Diceros bicornis minor: one gene and its partners. The protein of the gene in region 1 binds, or shares a complex with, the protein of each later gene. Links are inferred from orthologs where the notes say so. Each region holds a gene or a part of one and is shown in the gene's direction. Other genes may lie near its edges. The genes, in order: ACTL6B, DPF1 and DPF3.

Region 1 (7,857 bases):
CACTCTCCATGTTGTTCACTGGTGACATCATCCATTACTCTGACTTTACCCCTTAATTGCCATAACTCTCAAATCTCTATCTCTAGCCCAGATGTCTCTCCCCATGTGCAGACTTGGTGATTGTCCAACTGCAGACTGAATATCTCCATCTGGATGCTCATGGACAGTGGTGTACTGGAGTCAGCTGGTGCCAGCTCAGACTAGCTCACAAGAGCCCATTGTATACCTCTCTTCCCAACTCCTTGTTCAATGAAGTCATGTTGATAGTAGTAACTTGTAATTGACATGGTAGGAGTATTTACACCATGGAAATCAGCAAACACTTCAGATCAGGGCTCCATCTCCTCAAAGAGCTGGTTGTTAAAATATTTACTACACACCACTGTTCACAGACGTCTTACACTCAACATATTCAAAACTAAATTAATCCTCTTCGACCTCACCCTACCCTGCCCAACCCTACCCCTTCTCTGAATCTCTTGGCCCAGTTAACAGCATCCACCATCCAATCAGGAGCTTCTCACTCCCTCATTCCCCATATCCAAAGGATAGTCAACTAGTTAGGGTGTAGTCAAAACTGCTATAACAAAGAGTCCCAAAAATTCAGTGGCTTAAGCGACAACCCCAAAATAGATCCTCCAGTACTGTGGGGGCATCTCTGCCATCCTCAACATGTAGCTTCCATCTCTGTGTCCAAAGTTGCCCAGGAAGCTCCCACTATTGTATCTGAATGCCATCTATTGGGAAGGGGAGGGGGGTGGGAGGAAGCACACGTTCTTTCCTATTGAAGGACACCACTAACTTCTACTTAGAATTTGGCCAGATGCAAGGAAGGCTGGGAAATGTAGTCTGTAGCCATATACCCAGCTAAAGCATTTTTAATAAATAAAGATGGAAGATGGCTATTGATGTGAGGCTAGCAGTCTATGTCATTGGTGGATACATCTTGTCAGTGCTCCCTCTGGAATTTTGCTTAAATCCATCCCTTCAACTGTCTGCCGACTACTGTTACCTTAGTTCTTGCCTATTTCCTGGCCTTTACAATAGTCCCTCCCTAATCAACCTACCATATAGCTGTCAGAGATATCTTTCTAAAATGCAAATTGGATCATATACCTTAGCTGTTAAAAGCCATGCAGTATTTCCCTATTGATTCCAAGAGAAGGGCCAAACTTCTTTGCATGGCACACGGGCTGGGTCTTGTCTCCTCTACTCAGAATACCTCCCATCCCCACGCCAACTCTACTTCCTTGTCAGCCAGGAAAATTCAGGTCATTTTCTCAGGCTTAGTTTAAATATTGCCTCCCTGGCCACACTGTTGTTGCTGCCCCATTGCAATGCTGGCTCCCTTCCGATTGCAGCCCTTACTGGACTGTTCATTTCTGGGCACTTGCCACCTGCACTAGGGGCTCCCTATGAAGCCAAGACACCTCTGTGTCTGGCAGAGGCTCTGGAGAGGTAAGAGCTCACCAAGCAATGAACAGACCCTCACAAGATGCCAAATCATTTCCAAGGTGCGGGGTCTGAGGGTCCTGACTTACCACCTTTGACGTCATTACCAGGTGCTCAGCCAACTGAATGTGGGCCTAGAATGTGAGAACCTCCAGATGATTTTATTGAGTTAATTGTTTAATCGTCCATCTTCCAGGATAGACATTACACTCCATGCGAAGTTACATGAGCCGTTCTATTCCCAGTGCCTATCAGGGACCTAGAGAACATCTATGAAATGAATAGAAGCATGGCAACATTTTCCCCAGATCAGTACTTTTCACATGCCACAGTTCAAATCTCAGCTCTATCACTTACCAGCTGAGTGACCTTGGGCAAATTACTGAACCTCTCTATGCCTCTGTTTCCCCTGCAAAATGGGGATAATAATCGAGTCATTATGAGGACTAAATTACTTAATATTTGTAAAGCATTTATAACAGTGCCTGGCAGAGTAGATGCTTTGTGTTTGCCAAATAAAAATAGAGTTCACGCATGAACAAGTTAGTCTTTGATGACTTTTCCAGTCTCATCTCCCCCTGATATTGGTCTCTGTCACCAGCTCATAGCCAACTGTCCTTCTAGACTGAGCTCCTAACTATTTCGACATATGCCAGAAATGTTCACGTCTCTAGGTCTTTGCACATGCTGTTCTCTGTGTGGAAGACCTTCCCCACCTTGTTCACCAGTGAGCCCTTATTCATCCTTCACAATTCAGTTTGAACTTCACTGCTAGAAGCCTCCCTGGACTCTCGGAGACAGGTAGCCCCTCCCTCCTCTGGGCCTCCATTTCACCCCACTTTTGTGCACGTCTGAGCACCCCACTGCACCAAAATTCCTCGAGAGCAAGGATATCTCTTATGCACCTCAGTATTCCTATGCCTCTCGCAATGCCTGGCACACTGCACGCATAAAAGATGTTTGTTGAATCAATGAATGGACGAACAAAGTATATTAATAACCTTCACCTTAGGCACTTCCATAATACAATAGACTATCATGTCAGATCCCATGACAAATAAAAACGGGCCACAGTTGACTGGGAGGTTCTATAGTCAGCCTACATGAGAGGAAAATCCACTTCTCATTACCAAGTAGGCTACAGATTTCTAATTTATGAATAATAATATGATAGCCTCAAAAACTCCCCAGGGACATTCTTAGGACTCAGTGTTTACTGGATGGTCCTGGGTGCCCAGCTGTTAGCCAGGGACTTCATTCTGGCATCAGATAGAGTCCTCATCACCGGCCATCTTACAGATGGGGACAGTGAAGCTTGGAGAGGAACACAGAGGTGTTATGAACAAGGTCATCTCTCAACTGGCTGAGAAGAGATGTGAGTTCGAGTCCCGGCTCTGCCCCAGTGGGCTGTGTGACCCAAGACAGGGCCTGGCTTCTATCTGGGGAAACCCCTGTAAAACCCAGAGTTTGGATCCATGATCAGTAAGGTTTCTCCCAACGGAGGCAGTTTCTGAATCTGAGATCCTGAGTAGGGTGGGGGAGGGGGTAGAGGTAGTGGGAATTGACAAGATGAACTTACAGGGGAAGGGAAGCAACGTCATTGTCAACAAAAGGAGAGTTGCAGGCCATGAATAGAATCACTTTCCTCTCCTCCAGTGTTCCCTTAATCCTCACCTCCGCATTTGGAAAGATGAAGAAATGCAGGCACTGGGAGGTTAAAGGGCTCATCCAATTCATGCAGGCCTCAATTTATAGGGAGGCCAATGACTGACCTAGGGTCACTCAGGAATATTGCAATTTCCCGGCTCCTTAGTCAGCTCTGTCCCCTACAGCTCACCCCTCCCCCTGAAGCCTGGACTCCTCCAGTCTGGGGAGCCAGGCTGGACTTGGAACCAACCCTGGGCATGTGAAATGCCACTGTTGCCAGTGGGTAACTGATGAGCCAGCTCAAACCATCTGTCCTTTGGCTGGGGACAGGTGGAGTCTCTTCAAGAGTGGGCATCTGGTGAGCAGAGAACCTTCAGGGGCATGCAGCCATCATACAGTACCCTCTTCTTCTGCCATCTCTGGTCTTTTTTTTTTTTTTGTGAGGAAGATCAGCCCTGAGCTAACATCCATGCCAATCCACCTCTTTTTGCCGAGGAAGACTGGCCCTGAACTAACATCTGTGCCCATCTTCCTCCACTTTATGTGGGACGCAGCCTCAGCATGGCTGGACAAGCGGTGTGTCGGTGCACGCCCGGGATCCGAACCTGGGTTGCCAACAGTGGAGTGTGCGCACTTAACCTCTATGCCACGGGGCTGGCCTGCCATCTCTGGTCTTAATGCTCCCTCTACCCCTAAACAAGTAGGTAGGAGAGCCCTCAACACACATGTATTCACATGCACACATATATACACATACATACATACATATGCACAGGCACACATATACCAACACACAAACCATACATACAGGCACACACCTACACACATGCTCACATATTAGAGTCTCTCAGCTAAGCCAGGCTGTCAGAGCTGCTCCTTCACCTTCACTGTCAAAACTGCTGTGGAGGTGTGGTCATGCCAGGAGCCTAGGAGAACTGAGGAGCCAACTAGTGGAAAACGTACTTGCTTGATAAATGCCTCCTGAGGAGAACAGATGAAGAGAGAGGGAAAGAGAAAGGAAGCTAAAGCTGGGTTACCTGAGCGCCCATGTGTGAATGTGTGTACATGTGTGTATGTATAAGGCCCAGGCACCAGGGGACCAGCGAGGAAAAGAGGGCCCCTCAGAAAGACAAGGGTGGAATGAAACAGGGAGAAGATGGAGACACACCTTCTCCCGCACCTCTCTCTTTCTTTCTTCCCTTCCCTCCCTCTCCAGGTGATATCCTTCAGGCCTGGGTATGGCAAACCATACTCAGGAGCCTGAGAATGGATGACTCTCTGGGACTATAGCGCCCTGTCCTAGACCCCATTTAAAAAAGCGAGGAGCAGGGGTCCTCATCAGTCACCCTGCGGAGTCCTGGTTTCCGGATGGACAAGGTTTCCATTTCTTTCATATGCCTTCTCTCTACCCTGCCTATCCCTAGGGGCCGGTCTGGATGTCCTTGCCATCCTCCACCTAGTTCCTTCCTGGCTGCCTAATGTTGAGGTGTCTGCACCTTTAAAGCAGCGGCCCCCGGCCGGGTTATTGTCTCGCCTCGCAGCCAATCGGCGGCGCCGTTGGGGGCAGTGGATCCGGCCTCCCGATTGGCCGCCTGGTGCCCCGCCCCGCCCGCGATCCTGGGAGCTGTCCGGCCTCCTCGGTGCTGATCCCGCCGCCGCCCACGGGCCGCGAGCAGCGCTGAAAGGGCACTATGAGCGGGGGCGTCTATGGCGGAGGTGAGCGAGCCTCGGGCTTCAGGCTCCCCAGCCTGGCGCAGCCTTGCCCGCAGCCCCGCGCCCCGAACCCGCGCGACCCAAGCTCTGGGCACCCGGGGCCTGTCACCTCGGCGCTCGAGCGGGTCCAGCCCGGGGTTTGGGTCCTGCGCCACTCCTACCTTCAACCCTCACGGGACGCTCTCGCGCACTGGACCCACCCTTTCCGCCATTCAACCCACCTCCTCCTGGTCCCCGGCCCCTTCCTTCCCAGCAAGGAGAGTGGCCTGAACAAGGCCACTGGGCAAGAAGGGACTCTGGAGGTTTGACCCCCACTCCCAGGACCCGGACTCCAGGCCGAGCTCCCACCTGCCCCGGCCGGCGTTGAAGGTGGCGAGACTGTAGCTCTGCCCTGACCTCCTCTCCGGACTATCCACGGGGGAGAGATTTGGGGAGAGGTCCCCCTTACACGCCTGTCTCCCCGCACAGATGAGGTGGGGGCGCTGGTCTTTGACATTGGCTCCTTCTCAGTCCGCGCTGGGTACGCTGGGGAGGACTGCCCCAAGGTGAGCCTTCAAGCCCCCTCCCCAAATCCTAGGGGCTCTGGACTCCCCTCCAGGCTTTCCCGTGGCCCAGGCCTCTCGATGCACAGCGCAAAGCTCTGCTGAGCGGGAATGTGGGAGTAAACCCAGGGGCGGGCTGAGGGCCTTGCCGTGGGCCTGGACAGGGGCAAGAGGTTGATCCCTTTCCCTTACCATCCCCGCTTCCAGGCTGACTTCCCCACCACGGTGGGGCTGCTGGCCACGGAGGAGGGGGGTGGGCTGGAACTGGAGGGGGAGAAAGAGAAGAAAGGGAAGATCTTTCACATCGACACCAACGCCCTGCACGTGCCTCGGGATGGAGCGGAGGTCATGTCGCCTCTCAAGAATGGCATGAGTAAGGGGTCTTTACTCACCATCTCCTGACATAGACCTGGAGCACCCCACATCCACCCAAAGAGTCTTCCTTGCAGCTGCCCAAGTCCCGGGGATCCCCTCACTGCTTCCCACAGCCACCTGGTTCCCAACCCAGAAGCCCCACCAGATTCCTGGGAAAGAGGGATTTCTGTTGGAGCTGGGTCTCCCTTCCCCTCCCCTGAACTTGGCCTCCCTCCTCCCTTTCTTTCCTGTCCCGGAACCCCTGCCTGCCCATCTTCATCTCTCCACACTGGTCTCCTGGCCCCAGTCGAGGACTGGGAGTGCTTCCGTGCCATCCTGGACCACACCTACAGCAAACATGTCAAATCTGAGCCAAACCTGCACCCAGTGCTCATGTCTGAGGCCCCGGTAAGTGTCTCATCATCTCATCCAGCCTCTAGTCCAGCCCTGAGCCCAGCATCTCCTTTCCACCCTTCACCTTGCCCCTCAAGCCACTGCTATCAATCACTCCACTTGGCTTTTCAGACTTTCCTTCCAACTCCATCATCTTCAACTACTTTCCTTCCTCGCTGTTTTAGTCTCCATGTTTCCCTCTCTCCTCCCACTATATCTACTCCCCCATCCTCCAGTCGGCCTTATCCACTGCCCTTTTTTCCTCCCAAAGTCCCTTTTTGACCTTTTAACTTAAAATTTTTGTCAATATTATATGTGCACATAAAAAATCAATTTGCTTTATAAAGTATGTTAAGAAAAAAGCTACCATTCTTACCCTCCTCCTTCCATTTCCGCTTTTCCAGAGGCAACTGCTTTTCTCTCTTTTAGCTAATTTTTTTGGTCATATCTTTCATATCTCTGAATATCACACTCCAATAGCTGCTTGTTGATTTTTTAGTTTTAGGCATTATCTGTGGATTTCCCCCTTAGAAGGTGAACATTTAGCTCTCTTTCCTCCCCCAGTCCAACACACATATTTCTCATTCCCCATCTTTAAGTACAGTTGTATTTTAGGGTTTTTTTAAGACCAATATTTGTTATTTACACTCTTTTGATTATGTATGCTAATCAGGGCTGAGGCGGGCAATAAACAATGGCTACTTTTCCTTTCTTATGCAGCTTTTTGTTTTTCCTAGAACTGAAAATTGTCTTGGTTTTTATTTTGCATAGTTTTCTATCTACTTAAAAATGTGACTCTAAATTATTCATTCATCGGTTATCTATATCTTTTCTCAAGACATTAATTCCTTTAGGAATTTTATCAATTTCATCATCTTGAGGAAATCTCTCCAGGAACCCATTGATCTGCTCCGTTTTGGACTAGTTGCCTTCTGTGCAGAGGACATAGTTATCATCTGACATCTCCCTGCACTGTCATTTTAGGGAATTCCTTTGCCTCTCTCCTGTGTTAGAAGTCCTGTTTCCTGTATCTCATGACTCCCTTTCTTGAGTTACTACCTTGTTTTCATGGAGTACATCCTTCAGTAACTGCCTTAGAAAGGTCTTGGGAAGTAAGATTTTTGAGACCTTGCATGTCTAACCTTAGATTGATACCTTAGCTGAGTATAACACTCCAGGTTGGAAATCATTTTTCTTCGGAATCTTGAAGGTGCTTCTCCACTGTCTTCCAGCATCTATTGTTGCCATCAAGAAGGCTGAAACCATATAATTCCTGATCCTTTGATGTAATTTTTTCTCTTCCTGAAAGTTTATAGAATTTTCACTGTGTCCTCAGTCTTGTATAATTTCACAATGTGATATTGGTTTATTTTTATCCATTGCTCTAGACACTTAGTATGTCACTTCAATCTGGAAACCTAGTCTTTAAGTCAGTGAAAAAAATTTAATTGCTTATTTGATGATTTATTTATCTTGATTTTCTCTGTTCTCTTTTTTGCCAAACCCTCTTATTTGGATTTTGCACCTCCTGAACTGTCCCCTAATTTTATTATCTTTTCTCTTTATGTTTTCTGTCTCTTTATCTTTCCTCTAATTTTCAAGGTATTCCCTCAACTTTATTTTTCAACTCTTCTATTAAGTTTTTCATTTCTGCTCTTGTGTTTTTATTTTCCAAGAGCTCTTTTTTTTGTTCCGTGAATGTTACTTTTTAGAACATCCTATTCTTATTTCATGTGTGCAGTATCATCTGTTATCT
Region 2 (7,509 bases), on another chromosome or scaffold:
CCAACATAGACAAGAAGACATGACAGACCCCCGGGTCATCCACATACCCTGGGGAGACCCAGAGGCCAGGGATCACCTGCTCCCGCGCCCGCTGTCCCTGGAGGATGGAGAGCCGGAGCTGGGAATGGAGCACCCCCAGGGAGGAGGGAAGGATGCTCTGGGGAGAACCCAGCCCCGCCCTGTATCCCCAGCAGCCAATGGGCGCGCGGTCCTCCCGACGCCCCCTGGGACGTGTAGTCCGGACAGGGGCGCCCTCGGGCGCCGCCGCGCACCCCTAGACTCCACGTCCCGTCGTGCGCCGGGAGGTGCGGGGATTGGTCGAGCCCCGCCCCCGGCCCGCCCCGCTCCGCTCGCGCCGCAGCCCCAAGAATGAATGAAATCGTAGCGCGCTGGGCGGCAGAGCGGGCGGCGCAGGCCGGGCTGGGCCCGCGCGCGGCGGCAGCGGCGCCCCGGGCCGGAGGTGGCCCAGCCGAGCGGGTCATGGCCACCGCCATTCAGAACCCGCTCAAGTCGTGAGTGTCCCCGCCGTCCACGTCCCTCCATCCCGAACCCCCCGCCCCCGGAGCCCTTCCCCCTCCCTCGCTGGGGAGGGGGACGCAGCGCGCGGATGGTAGTTGAATGGGGGCCTCCAGCGCGCCCCCCCGTCCCTGGGGGGCCCGACACCCCCTGTCGCCCCATGGGGTTTGGGGCGGGAGCCCTGCAGGGTCGCGGGGGCGCCTCTTCTTTGTCGCTGTCAGTGAAGGAATGTGGCGCGGGCTGGGGGTGGCGGAGGCCGTTTCCCCACCCAGAGTGGGGGTAGGGGCTTCCCTCTCCTCCTCCTCCGTCTCTCCTCCTCCGTGTCTCTGGGGGCGCCGGGCCTGCCCCAGCATGGGGCTGGGAGTACGAACGCCTAAGTCCAGACCTCAGTCTCCGGGGTCTCCGCCACCCTCTTTCCCCTCATCAAAGCACCTTTCTCTCTTTTCCCCCTCTTTCTCCGAGGACCTCGGCTCGCGCGGCCGCAGGGTGGGAGCTGAGACGTCGGGGGTCCCCGGTTCGATCCCTGCTGTCTCCCCTTTTTCCTCCCCGGGTCTTGAAGACGCAGAAGCCTGGAAGCCCCGGTCAGCTTAGACCGTGGGATCCCTCCCTCTCCCCGCCCATACACATCTAACGAGAGCATCTCCCATCCCCGTGGGGACCAGATGCCTCGGGAGAGGGTGCTCGGAGCTCCCTCAATCTCCGGGGATTCCCTCCCTTTCTCTCTGTCCGCGTCCGTCCTCCGTGCGTTCGCTTCCTCCTGCGCCCAGTGGCTGGCAACCTGGACGCCTGGGTTCAAGGCTAGCTGGCTCCCATCCCTTCCCTCTCCTAGCCATCGCTCGCTATCTCCACCTCTCTTCTTCACTCTCTTTCCATCTCTCGCTCGCTCCCTCTTCGGGATCCCGGACTCCCGGGTCCCAGCGCTCCCCACCCCCCTTCCCCAGGCGGTGACAGCGGGCTCAGAGTGACAGGCGCGCGGCCGCTCCCGCCCTCCCTCCCCGGCTGGCGAGCGCGGACTCCCCTCCCCCTCCTCCCGGGCCTGGGGGAGGAGGCGGAGGGCGAACGCCGGCGGCGCCGCACAAAGGGGCCGGGACGACCTCCCCACGCTTCCCCCAACCCCGTGCGCTCGCAGCCTTGACCTTGAGCAACGCGTGCGGGGAGGTGGGGAGCGGAGAGGGGGCCGGGAGCGCCCCCCTCCCCCCAGAAGGGCTGTGCCTGGTGGCTGAACCAAAGGCCCCGGTTGCTTCTGGTTTCTGGCGGGGGAAGTTGGGAGAGGAGCGGGGCGGGGGCTTATAAGCACGCGCCTACACCTGCGGCTTTGCGGAGAGCGAAGAGGGCCTGGAGGGTGCGCGTGGGGCTGGGGTCTGTGTGTGACCGTGACACCCTTCTGCTCCCCTCTCACTCTAAGTCTCACGCACAGACAGATGTCTCCCCTGTGAGGGACGCCCTCACACTGGCTGGGATGGGGTTCCTGTGCAGGTTGGTGGATCTATAGGCATCCAGGCCTCCTCCCTCTGACCCAGGCCCAGACCTTGGAGGAGCTATGGGGCTGCCCACTGCAGGGCCCTGGAGGCCAGAGCAAGCGTTGGGCTGGGAATGCCAGCGCCCTTCTTTGCTCTCCCCCTCCCAAGGGTCTGCAGGGGTGAGGGTGGGCTCCTACTCCTGAAAGAATGAGAGTCAAATCTCCTTGGGAGTGGGAGGCTGCAGGGGGCAGCCCTCAGGAGTTCTGACTGCAGGGATTCAAGCCCCATCTTGAGCCACTCATTGCCCCCCTCTGAGCCTCAGTGTTACCATCTGTGGACTGGGGACTCATAACAGCTCTTATGACCTCATGGGGCTGTTATGATCTTTGTAAAGCACTTACTACAGAGCCTGATCCTGATGGAATGGAGTGATGATTATTAATAGCATCAATACTGATTTCACTTGTGGTCCAGTTTCACTCGGGTCCTGGGGGGTGGGGACAGGAGGGTTCTTAGCGCAGGGGAGTTCAGTGTGGGAGAGGGGTCTGTGAAGGTGACTAGGGGTACGGAAAGGGAGGAAGGCCCCTCTCCAAGCGTCAGCCTGGGTCTGCGGGTCAAGTCGTGCTGGTGGACAAGGGCCTCCCGGGAGGCCATGGAGTGTTCTACACTCAGGGTGCAGGGTTGGGGCAGGGCAGGAGTGAGCTGGCAGGTCTGAGGCTGCAGGTGTGGGGAGCAAGTGTGAGAGTGTGTTGGGGGACCTGTGAGGGTGGTGGGAGGTACGAGAGGAAGGTGGCAAGGGTGCTCGCTCTCTGGGCTGAGCTGACGGGTCCAGGTGCAGGGCTTGCTGTGGATGAGATGTGGGGTGGCCACTATAGGCGCCTGGAGGCCAGAGTGAGCGTGGGGATGCCAGCGTCCCTGACTCACTCCCCTTGCCACCTACTGTAGACCAGACGTGAAGCAGAGACCCATGCCCTTCCACTGGGGATAGGGGAGGGGAAGGTCAAGCCCTCACCTGGGGGAGAAGGGGGAGCGTTTGTGGAAGAGGTCTAAGACTAGAGGGGGGTGTGTGCGTGTGTTTAGAAGTGACCATGGGTGTGGAAGACCTTGAGGGGGTCTCTCTCACCCGGGGGTAGATGGGGGCATCAAGTGACAAAAGAAGCGAAGGCTGGTGCGCCTCTTCTGTCGCCTGGAGAGCCCTCTGGTGGACAAGGACCGTTGTGGGCGTTGTCATCTACGCAGGGGCTCAAACTTGAACACAAACTTTGGACGGGGTGGGTTCCAGGTCTGTGCGTGGGACTGGGTGGGTGTTGTGACTCGGTCACTCTCTGGGGGTCCCTTAGGGTAGAGTCAGTGCGGGTGACAGTGGGAGATAGCAGGAGGTAAGGCTGACTTGGGTACAGAATCCTTCCCTTAGTCCTACCTTCAAACAGCCACCAGAGTCTGAGAGCAAGGGACCGCACCTTTGTGTCTCAGATTCCTTATCTGGAAAATGGGGTCCTGATAGAACCACCCAGGAGGGTCATAATGAGAATTAAATGAGTTAATTGCTGTTAAAGCACTTAGAACTGTGCCTGGCACATGGCAGGTCCTCCGTATATTTATTCACTCAACAAATATTATTGACCATCTATTATGTGCCAGGCATTCTTCTTTCTAATAACGGTTAGCTCTCGCCCTTTGACATCTTAGTACATATAAGATCCTCTTTGTGGAATGGATGAATTTATTGAACACCTACTCCCTGCCGGGTACCTTTTAAAACACTTTACCCATATCTGTTCATTTAATAATTTTACAGACGAGGAACCTAAAGCCCAGAAAGGTGAAGTTATTTGCCCAAGGTCGCATGGCCACCAAGTGGCAGAGCCCGGATTTGAACCCAGGAGGTGTGGCGGCAACTCCTGGCTAGCCCCAGGGTTGTCAGGCCTGCGGAGGGGCTCGAGCAGGGCGGGGTCACTGTGAGAGTGTCCACCCCGAGTGGGAAGGGACAGGGGTCTCTGGAGCCAGGAGGGACTGGGGAGGGGGCGTTGTCAGTGAGCCACCGCGTGCGCCAGCGCGGGCATGTTGGGACCTTGTGTGGGCACCTGGAAGGCAGGCGTCTCTGCCTCCTGGCAATGAGGTGTGCGTGTGAGTGTCAATGTATGCGCGTCTGGGTAGAGGCGTGGGAGTGGGGGTGTGCGTGAGTCTACGTGGGCGGCTGTGAGTATACGTGTGAATGTGTGTACATTGCCGTGTGGGTGTGGGCGCGTCCAGGTGTGCACGTGTGAGCGTACGCCGGTGAGACTAGATGTCTGTACGCGTGAGCGTGTTGAGGGACTGTGCGTGCTCGGGCCCTCCTCGGCGCCCCCTCCGCGCTGGTCCCGCCGACTCCCGGCCCCGGACTACAACTCCCGGCATGACCCGGGCCGCCCCGCCCCGCCGCCGCGATTGGCTGCGGCCCTGCTGTGCCCGCCCCCCGGGAATGAATGGATGGGCGGCCTCGGCGCCCGCCCGAGCGCGGGGAGGACCGACCCGGCGGGGACCTGCTGGGGGCAGGACCCGGGGAGCAAGATGGCCACGGTCATCCCTGGCCCCCTGAGGTGCCGCGGGCGGCGGGAGGCGGGGGAGGGCGCGCGGGCGGGTCGGCGCGGGCGGGCGTGTGTGTGGCGGCTGGGGGTGGGGCCGCCGGGGTGTCTGGGGGGCTGTCACCGCGGGCCGGGCTGTGCGGGGGTGCGAGCGTGTGCGACTGTGGGGCTCTGGCTGGAACGGGGTCCGACGCGCTGCTCCTGGAGGAGCGAGGGTGTGGGGAACTCCGAGTCCTCTTCGGGTCCTTTTCGGGGAAGGGGGTCATGTCCCGACTCGCGACCCCCGGGGTTGCGGAGGCGGTGAAATGGCCCGGGGGTGCGGGGGCCTTGCTAAACTTGAGTGAAGCCCACACCACCTTTGTCTTGGGACATGGAGTGTGTGTCACTTGTTTGTGTTCTGGTTTTTGTGGATATGTGTGTGGATATGCGCTGACTTTCTTTTATTGGACACTAGGTATTTTTGGATATTTGGGTCTTGGAGTGTGTGTACATGCCCTTTCAAACTGTGCATCATTTGCGTTCTGTGGCTTTGGATGTGTGGGTATGCATGTATTTGTGTGTAAATTTTTGTGTGAACATGGGTGGATTGGTCTGTTTCTGTGCTGTATATGTGTGTATCTTTGTGTGTTTGAATATGTGGTATTTTAGATGTTGGTTTCTGTATTGTGTATCTTTGTGAATGTGTGTGTGTATCCTGTATGAATCTGTGTGATTTCTTTGTACAGTGTGTCTGGATAGTGTGTGTGTGATTTTTGTTGTGTCTTTGAATATGTAAGTACATATGTAGGTAATTTAACATTTCTCCTCTTTTAACATTTGTGTATCTGTGTGTGTCTTTGGATGCATGAGTGTGTGTGTGTGTGTGTGATCTGTCTGTTTGCATGTTGTGTCTTTGTGTGGGTGATTTGTTTATGTTGTGTGTCTTTGGATATGCGATGTGAGTTTGTGTATGGATATATGTGTGATCTGTCTTCTACACTACGTGACATTTGTGTTTTTCAGTAGACATTTGTGTGTGCACATATGTGAGATTGGTCTGCTTCTTTGTGGGTCTTGGGATATGTCTCTCTTTGTGTGTGAATCCGGTGTGACTATGTGTGATTTGTCTGTGTTGTGTGTTTGGACATATGCAGGGGTGGATGAGTCCCGGTGTATTTTTGTCTCTTTCTATATTGTGTGATCTGCTCCTTGGCTTGAGGCCTGCCCGAATCCCAGGTTGGGGGCTCCGAGGTCCAGGAGCGACAGGAGGGGGAGAGGGGAGGTTGGAGGAGGGGGCCCACCCATTCCCGACGCGCGGGCCGGGGGAGGCGTGCTGGGCGCCCGGCGCGCCTGCCCTTGCTGACAGCCGCCCGCCCGCTCCCCGCCCTCGCAGCCTAGGCGAGGACTTCTACCGCGAGGCCATCGAGCACTGCCGCAGCTACAACGCGCGCCTGTGCGCCGAGCGCAGCCTGCGCCTGCCCTTCCTCGACTCGCAGACCGGCGTGGCCCAGAACAACTGCTACATCTGGATGGAGAAGACCCACCGCGGGCCGGGTACCCGCAGGGAGGGCGGGGTGGGGCGGGGCGGCGGCCTCGCGGCGGGTTCTCACCGCCCTTCTCCCTCCAGGTTTGGCCCCGGGACAGATCTATACGTACCCCGCCCGCTGCTGGAGGAAGAAACGGAGACTCAACATTCTGGAGGACCCCAGACTCCGGCCCTGCGAGTACAAGATTGGTGGGTGGAGCTCCGTCCGTCCTCTGCCCGGGTGGCCGCCATCAGTGCCCCCAGCCCCCGCTGAGAAGTGTGTGGCGGTGCCAGTGTGTGTCTGCGCATCCGCCTTCATTTCCCTTCTGGCGAGTGTCTGAGGGGCTGGCTGTGTGTCTGGGTGTAGTCCAGAGATTCTCCACTGTTCCCTAAGTGACTGGGCCCAGGTGTATTCGAGGGCAGAGTGGTACCTGTTGTGTGTGTCTAGGTGTCTCGAGTCTTTGTGTCTCTTCCCTTGGGAGCTGGGATGGATCAGAGTGTCTGGCTGGATTTCTTCCTGTGGGGGCCTGAGTGTGTCTGGGTGCGTCAGAGTGTCTGATGGTAAGTCTTCCATTTGTAGTGGAGGGCATCTAAGTGTCTGTGTCTCTTTCCAGGTGTTTCCAAGTGTATTAGAAGGTTTATTTCCTCTTGTGTGTCTGGTCTGTCAGAGGATCCAGCTGTTCCTGAGTGTGTCTGGGTGTATCAGGGTGTCCACTGTCTCTTCCTTTGAGTGCCCAGGTGCTCTGGAATGTCTGGGAGAATCTCTTCCCTTAGTGTCTGGTGTCTTAGGTGTATTTCCACCCATGTGTACTGGTCTGCCAGAGTGTCTGGCCTTATCGCTTTCTGAATGTGTCCAGTGCGATCAGTCACTGGCTGTTTCTCTTTCCCGTCCAGGTGTATCCAAGAGTCTGTGTGGGTCCAGGTGTATTGGAGTGTCCACCTGGCTGTGTCCGACTGCCTCACAGGGACAGTCTGCACCTCCCTGTGTATGTCAGTGTGTATCCATCTGAGTGATTCTCTCTAGGTGTGTCTGTACCTCCCCGACGTGTGCCCAGGTGCATGGTAGTGTCTGGCTGTGTCTTCCCCACGTGGGTCTGGGTATATCTGATGGTCTGATGGTCTCTGAGTATCTCTGGGTGTATCCAAGGGTCTGGAGGTGTCTCCTCCACGTGTCTGGGTGTATCTGAGGATCTGGGTGTATCTGAGTGTCTGGGTGTATCTCTTCCTTTGTGTGTCTGCCTGTCTCAGATGACCCGTCTGTATCTCCCCTGTGTCTGTCCACGTGTATCTCGTGTATCCTGTTTGAATGTCTATCTCTCCATATGTGTCTAGGTGTAAGTGAGGGTCTAGCTGGGGTCTCCCGATGTATCTAGGTGTATATGAGGGTCTGGCCATGTCCCCTCCTGAGTGTGTCCGAGTGGATCTGGGGGTCTGGCTGTGTCTCCCCCAGGGTCTAGGCATCCTG
Region 3 (8,013 bases), on another chromosome or scaffold:
CCAGTTACCTCCCTGAGGTCATGGTGATGCCTTCAGGCAGGTGGCAGGGGGACAGGCCTTGTTTTGGCTCTGAGCCTGGTCTCTATTGCTGCTATCTTTCTGTTTTTTCTCAGTTCTTTGAGCCACTTAGTGTCCTTCCATGATCACCTTGGACTCTTCATATCCCCGTTCCCTGGCCAGAGTGTCATGGATACATTTGTGGACATCTGCCTGCAATGACTCCAAGTCCAGACAGCAAATGCAGCACCTGCATCGTCTGTAGCTCTTTCCATTTCTGTGGCTGCTGCCCAGATCCGAGGAGACGCTGGGGATTGAGGAGAGGCTGCTGCCTAGGGCCAGTTTTTCATCTGCTGTGGCTGCCCGTGGATGTCAGGAGTGGTTTCTCCTTGTGCTGCAGTACTGGTGGGATTGTCTTAACCACCCTGGCTTGGAAGGAGAACAACTGTGGGGTGAGGCTTATCCTCCAGTCACTGCGATACTCCAGAGAGTCATCCTCCGGTATTCCAAAGACCAAAACCACGTGGAAGTAAGTCTGTGCTTATTTCCATTCCAACATTATCAAATGGTCCCCTGACTGCAGTGGCCTGAGAGTTTTATTCTTTATTTCTGTCACGCCTGTTTGTATATAGGCTCAATTTGCAAATATATAACCACTTGCCTGTCTGCCCATCCACTCATCCATTTGTTGAGCAGTTGATCCATTGATCTATATCCATCAGGAATGGTAAACTCATGTACTTAAAGGGACCAAGAAGGTAAAGTAAATGAGGAAAATGGGCTTGGTAAAGACAATAGGGAGTGGTGGGGACTGTGGTGAGCCAGAGAATGCAGTTCACTGAGCTGCCGTCTACATTCCCTGACTCTGACTGCCTCTCAAGTTTGAAGAGTGGCACCTAGTGGCCACAGTGAACCATCTTTATCTCAAAAGCATTTGGGTTCTAGTAGACTAGAGGTGTTTGAGTGGGGCCCCTGGCCTTTTCTTCAGCCTTGTGTAAAGTCTATTGGTAAAACCAAACTCTGGAATGTGCGTCAGGGCTTTTTAAGGTTGCCAATGGCAAGAAACTCAACTCAAACTGCTCAAGCATGAAGAGGAATGTACGGGCTCAGGTAACTAAAAGTTCAGGAGTGCATCTGCTTCACTTGGGACTGGGTCTAGGGACTCAACAAGGCCATTGGGGCTCCCTTTCTCTCTCTCTCTCTTTCTTTCTTTCTTTCTTTCTTTTTTCCCCCAAAGCCCCAGTAGATAGTTGTATGTCGTAGTTGCACATCCTTCTAGTTGCTGTACATGGGACGTGACCTCAGCATGGCCAGAGAAGCAGTACGACGGTGCGCGCCTGGGATCCGAACCTGGGCTGCCAGCAGCGGAGCGTGCGCACTTAACCACCAAGCCACGGGGCCAGTCCGCCCCCTTTCTCTCTCAATGTGGCTTTCCTTTGCAGACAGGCCTCCCTGCTGCTTTCCCACAGAAAGTCTAAGATTGACCCTAATTTTCCTGCCTTAGACCACATGTTCACCCTTGAAGCAATCACTAAGTTCTGGGAAGGTGGTTTCCTCGTTGGAGGGCTGGGTCACAGCCTGTCTCAAAAGTTGAGGGGGGGAGTGGGGTTGATTTTGCCAGACTGGTGGAGGGGGGAGAGGTGGTTCCCTGGAGGAAAATGGAGGTGTTGTTAGTGGAAGGAGGTGGAATGGCAGCTTTGTGGGCAGACAGCCATGCCCATCACAGGGAAGATGGATTGATGGAAGGTTGGGATCTTACAATTGCGCTATGAAGCAAGACCCAGGACACTCAGGGGGACCAGAGCTGCCCACCCTTTCAATCCCACCCCTAGTCTGAGTAGTGGCCACCCCCGACCTCTGTCCAGCCCCCATGATGCAATGGATGAGGAGAGCACAGTGCTTAGTGGGCATAGACTGTCTTGCACTGCCTCCTACACACGTGCGAGATGCTTGGGTATAAGGAAACCTGATGTTTACTCCACAACTGTGACTTTCAAGGGTTTTGGAGTTTTGGAAGAAGGCAATAACCCGAGAGGGTCCCGAAGTGCTTGGAGCACTCTGTGAACTTTCAACCAGGTTCTGCTGTTGGAGGAGAAGTTGCTGAGATGAAGTGGTTCCTTTCAGCCGTGCCAGCCATGGGCTCAGAACTCTGCTATGCTGAGCCCATGACACGGCCCAATGCGGGAATTGAGGCCAGGGAAGAGCCCTACTTGGCATTTGGAGCCTCTGACTTCCCACCTTGGGCAGAAGCCACTGAAAGGGGAGGGAGACCAGGCTGCATCCTCAGCAGCCGGCAGCCCCTGGGGCAGCCTAGTGGGGACCCAGTGTTCTCCATTGGGACTTTGGTCCCAGGGAGTAAACCAGGCAGGTGTCATGTCTGCCTTAGTCACGTGTCATCCTCAGAGCCAGAAATACCAGCGATCTTTGGATTGAGCAATAGTTTTCTCCTCCCCATCAAGGATAATTTTAACTGTTTCCTACCTTGTTTTTTTGTTATCGAAAATATGGCTACCAGAGAGCAGAATCTTAAAAGGAAGATAGAACAAAGGTAAATAGAACTCATGAAAGGATATAAAAACACTTGAAATTGTCAATAAGTAAAACTCTGCTTATAGAAAAAGCAGAATTAGTGATGGCAGAAAGTACTCAAGAGAGAGTCTTCACAGCCTGTCTCATTTGCTACAACAGCTTAAGGAAGTTGACAGGGAAGGGTGCTTTTCTTTTAATGTCTATTTTAGAGATGTAGAAATGGTTATTAAGAGATTTAGCAAGGTCTTTCAGTTACTGGGAGAGTTGAGTCTAGAACCCCGATTTCTAAACAGCTAGTATAGTTTTTTAATCACCTCACAACATCACCTCAACATCTGTTGCCAATCTTCCTCTTTTTGCTTGAAAAAGATTGTCCCTGAGCTAACATCTGTGCCAATCTTCCTCTATTTTGTATGTGGGATGCTGCCACAGCATGGCTTGATGAACAGTGTGTAGGTCCATGCCCGGGATCTGAAGCCACGAACCTTGCACTGCCGAAGCGGAACACGCGAACTTAATCACTACTCCACCAGGCTGGCCCCAAACCTGGCATCCTAACGGCAGTGCCCAGCCCTTCATCGAAATGCTCTGCTGGCTCTCACATGGTGTGACATGCATGGAGCAGGCACTCCTTCAACATTTACTGGTGAAGTGAATGAATGACTGTCACTCACATACGCGAGGAGCAGCTGTAGGAACCCCCACCCAGAGGCAGCAGGGGAGACTGAGGGGCTGCCAGGAAACCCACTGGACAGCAAGGCGTTTACTCCTGCAGGTGCAAAGATAACATGGAGCTGGCTATCTTACTTAGCATCTCGCATCTGGACTCGTGGGCTGGTCCAACTAAATTCTTGTTGAATTTCCTGGGATATTCTATCCAACAGAGCTCCAGGCACTGAGCGGGAGATGGGGATGGGGATTTCTCAAGGTCTCCTTTTCCCCTGAGGCATCCCTTACTCCGTCTTTGGATGCTCCAAATGGCCCAGCTGGTGATCCAGGGTGGATGTTGGGTGCGGGCTTGTTAATTGCCTATCTTTCTCCCTGTATCTGGAAGGGAGATGAGGGGAGAGAGTGATGATGCAGATAAACTTAGTGTTGAAGCTGCAGGGGGAGCCCATATGGCCTTTGCCTGCCTAGAAATTACCCATGTCCCTAATAGACTGGCAGCTTGTGCGAATGTTTCCTCCCTTTTGCTTTCTTTTATGTCTTGCTTTTGTGAGAGAGATGAGAATTTACCACTGATGAGCCTCACGCGAGAAAATGAATAGAAGGCAAGTGACCCCAGCTGTCTCCCCTCCTCCCTCCAGCCCCAGGAATGTCTTGTCCGCCTTAGTGATCTTCTTTGCCCAGCCAGTTCATGTGGGATGCTGCTGCTTTGTTAAATTGCCTCACCGCTGCCGTCTGACACTGTTGGTTTCCCGCCTCGCCAAATCTCCCTCAAGTTATTACTTCATTTGCAGCAGTGGTCAGAGCAAGGCAATTCTATTGATTTTCCTTCTTTTGTTCTCAGTTTCTCCATATATTAATTGGGTGTAATCATGTTTGCCATCACCCTATCTTTAGGGGAGATTAAATTTTGGTGTTTAAAGGGAGGGGTAGAGAGTGTTTTTGACTGGAGTGAGAGTATTCAAATTACAGTAGTGCACAGATTTTAAGATGAAACTCAGTTTTGTGTTTCAGGAGTTTTTTTTTTTTTTTTTTTAAAGAGCATTCTCTGTTCTGGATGTTTTCCAAATGGTCTATAAAATGCTGTGGGAGCTGTTCACCTAGAGATGTCACCTCAACGATTTAAGATTTGGAGGGATCGGGTGGGGAGAGGAGTTTCAGGACAGCTCTGGAGGTTTGGGCCCCATCTCATGCTGGGTCACTGGAAATGGCCTCTGCTAATTGGACCATGTCCTGTCAGGACACATCAGACAAGGCCACGGTGACACCCGAGCTTGGTTGGGGGGAATGGTCTGTAGGAGCAGGTGTCACTGCTGCCGTGTCCTGGGAGCTCTTTGTTCCCCTGGGGAATGGAGCCAGCCAGCAGTCATGTGGACCGAGGTCAGGAGACTGTGCTGAGCTGGGTTCTCCGGGAGCCCAGGAGAGCCAGGACCGAAGTGTGAGCTATTTTGGGTTGTGTGGTGGCAGAGCTGGTGTGTGTGTGTCCTCTCAGGAGTGAGGATGTTTGCCTCCAAGAATCACTCCCAACACTAGAATGTGGGTTTTTTGGCCATTGCCTTCCAAAAAGAAAAAAACCCCTCCGGTCCTTGGATTCTGTTAATGGGGAATATAAATTTTGGCTGCAGGGAGGAGCTGAGGAAGCACAGGCTGCTCCGGGTCCCACAGTAGGAAGCCTTCCTCCCTTTCTGTTGCTGCCTGGTCCCTCCACCCTCCCCTTCAGAGTTTCCTTGTGACTGTCCCGGGCATGGGCGTGAAGGGTAGGTGCCTGCGCGCGTGTTTGGTTGAAATGCTGGTGTGTGCACATGGCTCCCTGGTGGCTCTGCAGGAAGGAGCAGCGGGGGTTGTTCCAGTCCCCCGGGCTGGTCAGCACCTGTTCTGGGCAAGCCATACCATGCCCTTGGACAAAGTGACTCTAGGCAGCATGGAGCCCTCCACACTCTTTTCCCTAACCTGTAGCCCACTCCACCTGACCCCCTCCTGGTCATGGGTGGCCAGCGTCTCTGAGCTGCCTGCCTGGACTGGGTTCGAGTCTGTGGCCCTCCCGCCAAATGAAGGGATTGGCTGTGAGACAGGGTAACTAGTAGGAAATTGAAGTCTGTGGATTTGGGCTGCCCTGTAATCCCAGCTCTGCCACTTAGTAGCTTTGTGATTTGGTTAAATTCCTTGTCCTCTTTGAGCTTCAGTTAACTCATCTGTGAATATGAGAGTGATGTATCCAAATGGCAGCTGAGCAGGGTACCTGCTGCATAGCAGGAGCTTGACAAATGCTCCTCTGATTACTGAAGCTGTGATGTTGGCTTGTTGAGCTACCAGTACACCATCCGCAGGGTCGCCCCAACACCCTGCACAGGACAAGCCTGATCCCAGCAAAGCGGATCCCTGCATTGGACCCGATAACCCCTGCTTTCATTCTAGGCACGGGCAGACAGCTTGTTGTGGCCCTTGTAGGGCTCCCCTGAGCACCCCTCGCCCCCTAGTATTGCCTCAGTGGTTAGCAAAGGGGCTGGTGGGGCCCAGGCAAAGAGCAGAGGCTGCCAGGGCAAACCTCCAAGCTGGCAAGTCAACATTTATTTATAGGTCTTGGAGGGAGATGGCACCCCAGGCAGTGAAGAAGGGCCTGGCAGGGGCAGCTGCAGCGAGCAGGGCGCAGTGACAGTGGTGGGGGGCTGGAGGATGCCGAGAGGCCAGGTGCATTTATGTGTTGAAGAGTCAGGGTTCCAGCAGAAAGCAGCAGATTCAAACACAGTAAACTGAGGAGTGTTTAATAAGCTGGCTATTTATAAAAGTGTGGGCAGGGGAACCTACAAGGGGATAACGCAGCACCCTGGGGCGGGGGGAGGGGTGTCCCAGGGAGAGGGGAAGGTCACCGAGATTGCAGAGGGTACTGTATGGAGAGGACCGCCTGACAGGAGCTGGCACCTTCAGTGGAAGGACGCAGCCACACTCCAGTGACCCAGCAAGGAGGAGGCTGGGGGAATTAATATCCCGTCTCTCTCTCTTCCCTCTCTCTGATCTACTGCTAGCCTCTGCTGTTGGCCCAGGCCACAAAGCAGAGAGAAGAGGGTAAGTGGCTGACCACACAGGACAGACTTCTAAGGGCACTGGGCAGGGAGAAGAATGGTGGAGGGAGAACCTGGAGGGGCCACTGCACAGAGGAGCAAGGGAGAGGGGAGAGGTAAGGCTGAGACATTTAGGGATATGTGGGTGAAGAGAGTTGAGTGACCGAGGGGACCCAGCCAGAGGCTCTGTGGCAGAATGGCTAATATCATGGACTCAGGGAGGCAGACAGATGGGGACTGAAGCTCACTCTACTTCTGTGTGGTCTTGGGTGAGCTGTGTAAACTCTCTAGGCCTCAGTTTCCTCATTTGTAAATTGGGAATGATAAAGGTACTATTCTCAACCTCATAGTGGGGTACAGTGACATACTGAAGTCCTCAGCAAGGTGCCTGGGAGAGTGTGCAGGCTCAAGAAACGAAGCTAGAACAGATAGAGGGGTTCGCATGAAAGGAAGTGTCCAACTGTGCAGCCCCCTGTGTAAGGCCCTGTGGGGACAGCGTTTATCCACCTGATATTTATTGAGTGCCTCCTATATGCCAGGCACCCAGTTTTAGGCACTGGGAATACAGGGATGAACCAACTAGACCAGTCTTTCTCCCAGGGAGCTTATGTGGGGAAAAGACAGGCAGTAAGTAAATATAAACAAAATAATTTTTGATAGTTGGCAAAGTGCTAAAAAGACCATAAACCAGAGTGATGGGTAAAGAATGAGTGCTGTAGATAAGGAGCTTGGGGAAGTGGGAGTGAGGTGGGAGCGAGTGGAGCTGGAGGAGCAGACTCAGCCACTGTAAAGATGAGGAGAAGAACGTGCCTGTAGAGGGAGCTGCAGGTGCAAAGGCCCTGAGCCAGGAGGAGGCTGGTGTTTGTGGGGCAGAAAGGTGGCTTGGCAATGGAGCATGGAGCTGATAATAGCATCTCCAGGGTGAATGGGAGAGCTAAGTGGAAAGCTCTTAGCCACCTCTACACGCTCACTGACCGTTAGCTGCTGGCTGTTATTATTATTACTTTAACAAAAATTATTTTGAAAAAGGATGGCAGAAATAAGTGGGTAGATACGATATAAAATGTACCAGTGGCTCAGCATGCATTTACTGTCGACACAGTGTGGAGTGGAGTAGTTAAGAGCCCAGACTCGGAGACAAGAACGCCTGGTTCCGATCCTGACTCAACCACTCCCTAGGTGACCTGGGGCCAATGACTTACACTGTCTGAGCTGCAGTGTCCTCATCTGGATAATGAGGGCTAGTAATAGCATCTCTGTCGTAGGGCTGGTGTAAGGATGGAATGCATTACTATTTCTAAAGCACTTACCACAGTTCCTGGCCCACCGTAAGGGCTGCCTACTGGTGTTGCTGTTGCTAAGGCTCAGATGGAGATGCAGGGCTGGCCCAAGGAGACGTGAACCAAGGACTCTGCTCCCCATGAGTTTACTCATAGTCAGGTCTGGGACATGTGTCACCTGAGGCAGCATGTGAAGGTTATTGAATAAATGGCCAGACCATTACTGGAGGGACGCATCATCAGAGGTCTGGAGTGGGGACGGGAAGGCTTTGAGGAGGGATGTGAAGACAAGAAAATAAAATTACTACTAACTAGATCTGATGGCATCAGTCAGGTGAAGACAGAAATAATCAGATCAGTCTGCCCCAGAGCACTGCTTCTGCCTTCCCCATGTAGCCTTCTGCAACAATCTACACTTTCCCAGGCCCGGCCTAGGCTTTGGGAGGGTTCTTACCTCTCATATTCATAAGGGGCAGCCCCCC

Evidence for each region.
Region 2: ACTL6B (region 1) and DPF1 share a complex: the UniProt entries of both Homo sapiens proteins name them as parts of the neuron-specific chromatin remodeling complex. The link is inferred for Diceros bicornis minor from reciprocal best matches to the Homo sapiens genes ACTL6B and DPF1.
Region 3: ACTL6B (region 1) and DPF3 share a complex: the UniProt entries of both Homo sapiens proteins name them as parts of the BAF complex. The link is inferred for Diceros bicornis minor from reciprocal best matches to the Homo sapiens genes ACTL6B and DPF3.

Annotation. Positions count from the first base shown.
Region 1 is NC_080765.1:5,161,491-5,169,347, forward strand, and holds the start of ACTL6B (actin-like protein 6B), read left to right. Parts: upstream 1-4,790; coding exon 4,791-4,815; intron 4,816-5,280; coding exon 5,281-5,357; intron 5,358-5,561; coding exon 5,562-5,727; intron 5,728-6,015; coding exon 6,016-6,116; intron 6,117-7,857. UniProt on the Homo sapiens protein: Involved in transcriptional activation and repression of select genes by chromatin remodeling (alteration of DNA-nucleosome topology).
Region 2 is NC_080773.1:12,444,162-12,451,670, reverse strand, and holds the start of DPF1 (zinc finger protein neuro-d4), read left to right. Parts: upstream 1-4,497; 5' UTR 4,498-4,526; coding exon 4,527-4,555; intron 4,556-5,912; coding exon 5,913-6,073; intron 6,074-6,146; coding exon 6,147-6,254; intron 6,255-7,509. UniProt on the Homo sapiens protein: May have an important role in developing neurons by participating in regulation of cell survival, possibly as a neurospecific transcription factor. Belongs to the neuron-specific chromatin remodeling complex (nBAF complex).
Region 3 is NC_080763.1:21,002,462-21,010,474, reverse strand, and holds the start of DPF3 (zinc finger protein DPF3), read left to right. Parts: upstream 1-4,936; coding exon 4,937-4,949; intron 4,950-8,013. UniProt on the Homo sapiens protein: Belongs to the neuron-specific chromatin remodeling complex (nBAF complex).